2 linked regions of the Macaca fascicularis genome follow. The protein of the gene in region 1 purifies or fractionates together with the protein of each later gene. This does not show direct contact. Links are inferred from orthologs where the notes say so. Each region holds a gene or a part of one and is shown on either strand. Other genes may lie near its edges.

Region 1 (4,439 bases):
CAAGAGATAATCTTAAATATACCTGTGAAGTCCTAGGAACTGTTAGTTTGATTTATTTAGGAGCCGAAGTAAAAATAATCTCTCGACAAATACAGAAAGCTTCCTCAAGTGATCGTTGACACTCCGGTGTGATTATTTCAAAGTACAGCAGTGGTACAATATTCTTCTCTAGGAGTTCACCTTAAAATTATTAGAAAGTCAATGGGGACTGTGCACGAGGCTCGTGCCTGTAATCCCAGCACTTTGGGAGGCTGAGGGATCACTTGAGGTCAGGAGTTCTAGACCAGCCTGGCCAACAAAGCGAAACCCCATCTCTACTAAAAATACAAAAATTAGCAGTGCATGGCAGCGTGTACCTGTAATCCCAGTTACTCGGGAAGCTGAGGCAGGAGGATCCCTTGAACCCAGGAGGTGGAGGTTGCAGTGAGCAGAGATGGCACTACTGCACTCCAGTCTGGGCTACAGAGTGAGACTCTGTCTCAAAACAAAAATAAAACAAAAAAAAGAGTCAATGGAAAAAACTGATTCAACTAACACTTTGCCCTTAACTTCAAGTCTGTATTCTGATGCTCGTAGTCAGGTTAACTGACTCAGCTCATTTCAAACCTGTACATTTCACTTGGCATTGGAGCTTGAGAGAGATGTTTAAAGCATACATTTTAAGCCTCATGAAATTACAGGTTATCACAATAAAAATGAACGTCGACTGAAGTCACAAGTAAGCAGTTTGTTTCAGAAAGAGAAAAGTACCACCTGCTTGGCACTTCTATATACAAAAATAAATCCTCCTGTGTTAACAGTTACTTAATACACAAAGGCCCCAGCCAACATTACACCCGTTAAAAATACTATTTTAACTTAACACCATCTATTAGTGCTCCTTTCCTAAGTAAATTTCATGATTTTAAGAGTGTCCTAAAATTAGACTAACAAAATCTTTTCTTCACCTACTTCTGCGACGTCATGACTTCCAAACATTATGGTTAAGAAAATTGTATACATTACATCTTAAAATAACATCTTTACTTCTTCATGGACTTCAAGTGAGAATTTTTAACATAAAAATACATGAAAATTATTTAGTCCACCTTGTAAAGGATGAATTTGGAAAACTCTAGACTTTAAAGATGGAGAGATCGAAATAATTCCAGGAGTTAAGAAAACAATGGATACAGAATTCAGAAAGTGAAGATCACACACGATGTACAAGAACGAAATTGATCACCTGCATGTTTTATTATTCTTTGGAAAAGAAAAAAACTTTATATATATTAAAAACAAAAATAACTTTCTGCAAAGTGTTATCGTGCATGAAAACACACATCCCATTTATTTCCAGCAAACACTGTTCCCAAACTTAAGACCAGCTCTCGTTTCTGAATCAACGCTTTACTTCCAAGAGCCGCTCAACGCAAAGACCAGTCACCATCTGTTTCCACCAAAGTCAACCTCTATTTTAAAAATCACAGTTGGCCATCACGCCTACCTCTCCACAAACAAACGCTTGACACATTCAAGAGTCAGTGATTTTTTTTTTTTTTTTTTTTTGAGACAAGGTCTCGCTCTGTCGCCCAGGCTGGAGTGCAGTGACGCGATCTCGGCTCACTGCAGCCAGCCTCCACCTCCTGGGCTCAAGCGATCCTCCCACCTCAGCCTCCTGAATAGTTGAGATTACAGGCACCCGCCCTCACGCCCTGCTAATTTTTTAAAAAAAATTTTTGTGGAGACGGGGCCTCACTGGTCTCTAACTTCTGCGCTCCAGGCTGGTCTTTAACTCCTGGGCTCAAGCAATCCTCCCGCTTCGGCCTCCCGAGTAGCTGTGACCACAGGCGTGAGCCACCGCGCCCGGCTTGAGTTAGTGATTTCCGAGGTGCCCCGTTCACCTGACAAAAATTCTACATTTATTAACAAGTTCATTAATAGGCACGACATTCTGGTTAATTTTAGGTGCATTTTCAGAAACTGGTCTGAAAATGGTCCTTTTTCGGATGTCGCTTTCGTTATTCCACTCGGGAAATGCCAGAGTGGCAGGAACTCCAGTGGAGCGCAGGCGACCCCGACCAACCTCCGGCTTGGCTCCGGGGGCTATGGTTCCCCGCCCGCCCGCCCGCACTCGAGCCTCCCACCACCAGGATCTGGGCCGGGGGCGTGGGGCGTGTACCACGCGGAGGCAGAGGGGCCGGGCGAGGGCAGCCCAACGCCCCGGGGCCGGAACGGCTGGGCCGGCCGCCCGGGTGGACGCCGGAGCCGGACCCACAGCCCCGCGGGCCCCCGGTGGGCCGCGCCGGGCCCGGGGCCAGCGTGCGGACGGGCCGGGGCGGGCAGGAAAGCTGCGGCCCGTCCCAGTTCCGCGCTCCCGCACTCGCCCCCGCGGCGCCCTCACCTTCTCGCACAGCGTCCGCACTTGGTTCTCGTTCAGCTGCTTACACTCGTTCAGCTGCTCGACCCACTGGTCCAGCTCCTTGGTGAACGCCTTGTCGTCCATGGCGGCCCGATCCCGATGCGGATCCCGACCCCCGGCCCGGCCGCTGCCCTCCCCCCTCCCCACCCGCCCCCGGCCCCGGCCCGGGCGCCGCTCCCCTCTCCCTCAGCCGCCGTCGCCAGATCCCACAAGGGGAGGACCGAGCCGGGGAGGGCGGCCGCGGTCCCCGCGCCCCGCCCAAGCCCAGCAGGCGGCTCCGAGCGCGAGGCCTGTAGGAGACCCCCGCCCGCCCTTCCCCGCCCGGCCGCGCGCCGCAGGAGTCGGTGAAGGACGCGGGGAGGTGCTGGGAGGGCGGCGCGGGCCCTCGGACTAGCTCTCGCCGGACGAAGGCCGCCAGCTACCGCTTCAGGCCCGCCTCACGCCTGCCGGCCTCTCCCGGGTATCTTTCCCCTTCTCTCGCTCTTTCTCTTCCCTCCCTCCGGGTTTCCGTCATCGCTCGGGCATTTCCGCCGGGAAAAGGCGAGCAGGCGGCGGCGCCGCCGGGACACGGCGCGCTAGGGGCAGAACGGCGCCCTCGCGTGGCTTGGCGGAGAAACGGTCGGAGGAGGCCAGGATCCCTCCTGTCCCAACCCTGCCCAAGACCAAGCTCTGCTGGTTCTCCCTTTAGATATCCTGATCTCCGGGAACTTTGTCCTCACTTTAGCTTCCTGCAGTGCTTTTTCAGTGCTCGGAACAGGGAATTGGAAAACTTGGGCTTCCCTTAACATTGTCTCCCCAGAGTCTAGCACTCAATAGTAGGCATTCAATAATGGTGGAGTAAATTAATTATTTCCAGGCTTGCCTGTAGCCCTAACATCTTGAATCCTCCCTTTCAACATTAGAAAAGTGAAATGATTGCTCTGTAGGATAATCTGTGGCCCTTCTAGCTCCAGCGCTCTTGGCTGTGTTTTCTGCAATGTGTACTGAGTTGTAATGATTTGTTCATTCAACAAATATTTATTGAGTGAGACACAGCAGGGACCCCTCTTAGGGGCCTTCTAGGCACTCCCACCCCCACCCTCCCCAAGCATGGAAATAAAGGAAAATCTTGAGTTCCCCGAAGGGACATTCCAGGCACCTAACTTCCTCAATAAGTCAATGAGCAACCTGATAAGCAAGAAGGTAATAATAGCTTAAGACAGTAGCCAAGGACGTTAGATTCACAAAATGTTTGCTTCCCTATATAAACTGGAGACAACATATGTCCCTGAGTTGTTTTTCAGAAACCTGGACCTCACCAAATGGAAAATGGTGTCCACTATCATGGAGATCTCAAACTACCTATCTTTGTTCTAAATTTCTTCCTGAGGAGCCTGGAAGAATTCTCAAAGCTTTGCCTCCTTAGCCAATTACAAATCAGAAAATCTTTGAATCCACTTATGACCTGTGGGTCCCTACTTCAGATATCCTGGCTTTTTAGATCAAACCCACGTATAGCCTCCATGTATTGATTTATGACTTTGCCTGTAACATCTGCCTCCCTGCCTTTAAAAACCCTTACCTGTGCTGGGTGCAAGGGCTCATGCCTGTAATCCCAGCACTTTGGGAGGCCGAGGCCAGGAGTTGGAGACCAGCCTGCCAACATTGTGAAACCCCTTCTCTACTAAAAATACAAAAACTTCCTGGGCATGGTGGCAGGCGCCTGTACTCAGGAGGCTGAGGCAGATGAATTACTTGAAATCAGGAGATGGAGGTTGCAGTGAGCTGAGATCTCGCCATTGCACTCCAGCCTGGGTGACAAGAGCGAAACTCCATTTCAAAAAAAAAAAAAAAAAGCACACAAAAAACCTCTTACCTGTAAACCATCAGGGAGTTGGGGTCTTAAGCATGAGCTGCCTGATTCTTCTTGGTTGGTGTGATGCAATAAATGCCTCCCTTTCACTGCAAACCCCAATGTCAGTGTTTGGCTTTGCTATGCTGGTGGGAGGACCTAAATTCAGTTACGTAACATGAGCAACTGCTAGCTACCAGATACCTT
Region 2 (3,646 bases), on another chromosome or scaffold:
TGGTAAGGATAAGGTTGGAGTGATCATCACTCGCTAACTACAATATTTGCTATTTTAAAAATATATTTATATATAGTTCTGGAAATTATGAAGCAAACAAAATATAACACAAAGATGCGTTTGTCACAATTAACTCAAGTTGCAGCAACAGCAGAATTGTGGGAAGGGACGGAGAGAGAGGGCTGCTGCAAATGCAGCAAGTACGTCCTGAAATATGTCACATAGTGCAACAGTCAGATTACCTCAGTTACTCTGCGTCACCGCACACAACGTGACTATGTCACATTGTCACTTTCCACTAAAAAAGAAAAAGACAGTGTTTCTTCTCAGAAGTTGCCCTATGAATTTTAGACATATAGCTTAATTGATTCTCTAAATATGTCTAAAATTTTATTCTTCTCAGTTTGGAATGATCAACATACAAAATTGACATCAAGGAGGAGAGCTGTAAGTGTTCACCTTTCCTCTTGAAGACAGGGTAAGGTGCAAAAAAGGATCCTGGCCTTTCTCATTTCAAATGACTGCATTTCATCCCAATGGGCAGAGATTCTTCATAAACCTGCGATTTTAATGTCTTCTACCTAAAAAGATGAATTAATGGCAAACAAAAGTTTATACTATCAAAAATAAATATAATGCAAAGTGGAAACTAAAGGGCTAAAATGACAAGGGCTAAAAAGGAGAAGATTTGTTAAAAATTTATTTTTTATCACTTTGTTCCAGCATTTTTAAAGTCAGTTGTTTTGTCTTTGGCAGCCTCTGCCAACTTTACAGTGAATCCCCATCAATGTTCTTTAAAAAGAAAAAACAACAAAAAAAAAAAAACAAAAAAAAAACTATTAATTCCATTAAACCACGTTGTGCCTGGTGTTGCATATGACTTTTTTTTTTTTTTTAACTGCTGGTTTTTTGGGGGTTTTTTTGGAATTAACAATGCCAATTTTGTTTTTGTTTTTTTACAAAGTTACCCAGATGACAATATCCATAATTAGCTGACTCTTACATACACACTGTGACCTGATCATCCTGAAAAACTTTATGGGGGAGAAAGGTCAGCAGTTTTTCTTCCTTTTTCTTGAAAATAATAGAACTGCATATTCTACTTTATATTCAAATGTAAGGAAGAAAATATACAAGCCCATATTTATATTGTATTTCTATTAAGAGCAACAATAGTTCAAATGTTCATGTTTGCTACTATCACAATTCAACACATGAACACAGAATCAGCTCTATTCCATGAATACTGCTGGAAGTGATGGTTTAGGATTACCAACTCACTGCTGCCATGTCCATAACAAGCAAAAGCATCCTGGAAATAAACCCCCAAACACATATCTTTCAGTACATAATAATTCAACTGCATTAGGTAAGTACATACTGTACACAAGTTTTATCAGCAGTTTGCCTACCCAAGATGTAAGATTCTTCATTTAAATACAAAGCAGAGAGCCAATAAGATATATATATATATATAATACAGCCCTAGATTTTGTTTTTTTTTTTTTTCTTAAACAATTTGGTCACGATGCACCTTTGATATAAAAGCATTTTTTAAACTTTATTATTAATACTCAGGACATTAGGAATTTCCAGATTTTTTTTCAGTAGCATTTGTAGAACCACTTTTGGTAACAAATACAGTAGTTAGGAATATGCATCCAATTCAGAATGCATAATAATGTTTATCCTGAATCCTTTCCGGCTAAAAACAGGGCTGGCGCTGTGATGAGATATAGAACGAGAATCTACAAAAAACACTGTAACATGTTTGTTTTTTCCCAGAGGCTACATCCTCTTTTGCTGGAATACTTTATAAATACATATTAAAAAGTAAGGCAACAACTCCAAACAGTCCAAGCTGTTTGCTCAACTCTTTTCCCAATTAGATTTGCAATCCTGGCGATCAATTTCATGGTTGTATTGTTTAGTGTTTGTCTTTCTTATTTCAAATGGTCCAAAAGGATGTTTTTCTCGCATTTCTAAAACATCTCTGGTATGTGTGTTCAATGATATATGCAACTAATACTGGTCAGGTACTGAAGTCTGTGATGTCCCAGTGCCTGTTTTCAAAGGATTCAAGACATTGATTTGGATTCACCATAAACTGATGCATGAATCCAATATTCCCTTCCCTACTATGTTTATCACCTCTTCTCTTTTAACTCCTAATTTTAAAACTGAAGGAGTACCAGGACTACCTGCTTACTGGAAAGATGTTCACCCCAGTAAACAGAACTTTTATCAGGGACTTTTATAATTCATGACCCCATTCCACATGGACATTCAACTCAGGAAGATGTGCAAAAGAAAAAGATGTCAAATTACAGTCAAGTTATCCAGAGGAGGATGTTATACAAACTTATAAGGAAATGACAGTCTTTTTTTCTTCCTTTACTATAAATACATTTAACAGCTTAGCAGAAAGACAAGCTAAATTTAAGATTGTTCACATTTGAAAATTGTATCATACTCTCTGCTAGTGATAAATAAGGAACTCCCGATAATGGAATTTTAACATAGCAATTTCATCAACAGATCTTTGAAGACCGATTTTTTTTTTTAAAAGAGGGTTAGAACAATGATTATGTTTGCAAAGTTCTGAGAAGTCCATCTACTGTCCAAACTTTGGATTGAAGTCCTTATTTTGTTTTTTCCTTTACTTAGAGACAGGTATATACAGTGCTGTTGTAATAATGAAACAAATGTGAAATCTACTGTAAAGTTGCACAATACAGAAAACTGTTGCTCCATCTTCTACTACATAAATGTGTGACTCCACAGGTTAGTAATGTCGTTGTCATTGTTTTTGTTAAGTTGGAATTATTCCATCACGTCTAAGACCTCTCTTTAACTCCAGATCCTCCAATTTTTTCCACAATTCTTCACGCTCCTTTTCTTTCTTTTTCTCACTGAGGAAGAAATACAATACAATGTAAACAGCTGAGGTTTAATGAGATTATGCAACAATGAATATTTTACAATTTCACCTTGACACCCCTTTATACTTAGCTTAATTCAGAAAATTAAAACTACTAAGAAACAAAAATGGGAATGACTTATATGCATCAGTTATTGTAAAATTAAGGGCATATTAGTGATTTTCACTTGCAGCTTAGTAAAAATCTTAATTCTTGTTTATCTCCAAATAGTTTACCAAAAAGGATGCTGGAGATGACACTGATACAGAGAATATAGTAGGTCAAGAAAATATATCTGCTCCTTTATTCATATCTATTTTTCCTACCTCATGTACATTTAAATTCTTCAGCAGTTTAGAAGAAACTGAAAACTTGTGATTTCACTTTTAATGATCTGAAAAGAACTTGGTTGATATTATTATGTATTAAATTTTAATGCATCAAGCCTTCAAATTGGGTTCAGTATCAATTTTACTGATTTTAAATTTAGTGATTTTCAGACTTTGGGATTTCACTGTTTGGTAAAATTTCCCCCAAAAATTGGATGTCCAAGTAAGAATCAACAAACTTTATTTTGCCAAGGATATTTTAAAATTACCACATTTTTACAAAAAAAGGATTTTTTAACATCAACCAAGTAGGAAGTACATGATGCAGGAATGTAAGACTATATTCTAAGTTAAATGCATTCACATTTATTAAAAATAATTCACTGCACTGTCTCT

The links. Proteins that work in one complex are often made in the same cells at the same time.
Region 2: the proteins of PPP2CB (region 1) and PPP2R5E purify together in Homo sapiens (affinity purification with mass spectrometry; 5 studies listed by BioGRID and IntAct, counting the BioPlex papers as one, with this or other methods). This does not show direct contact. The link is inferred for Macaca fascicularis from reciprocal best matches to the Homo sapiens genes PPP2CB and PPP2R5E.

Annotation. Positions count from the first base shown.
Region 1 is NC_088382.1:34,024,272-34,028,710, forward strand, and holds the start of PPP2CB (serine/threonine-protein phosphatase 2A catalytic subunit beta isoform), read right to left. Parts: upstream 2,896-4,439; 5' UTR 2,486-2,895; coding exon 2,384-2,485; intron 1-2,383.
Region 2 is NC_088381.1:131,186,737-131,190,382, forward strand, and holds part of PPP2R5E (serine/threonine-protein phosphatase 2A 56 kDa regulatory subunit epsilon isoform), read right to left. Parts: intron 2,913-3,646; coding exon 2,813-2,912; 3' UTR 1-2,812. UniProt on the Homo sapiens protein: The B regulatory subunit might modulate substrate selectivity and catalytic activity, and might also direct the localization of the catalytic enzyme to a particular subcellular compartment.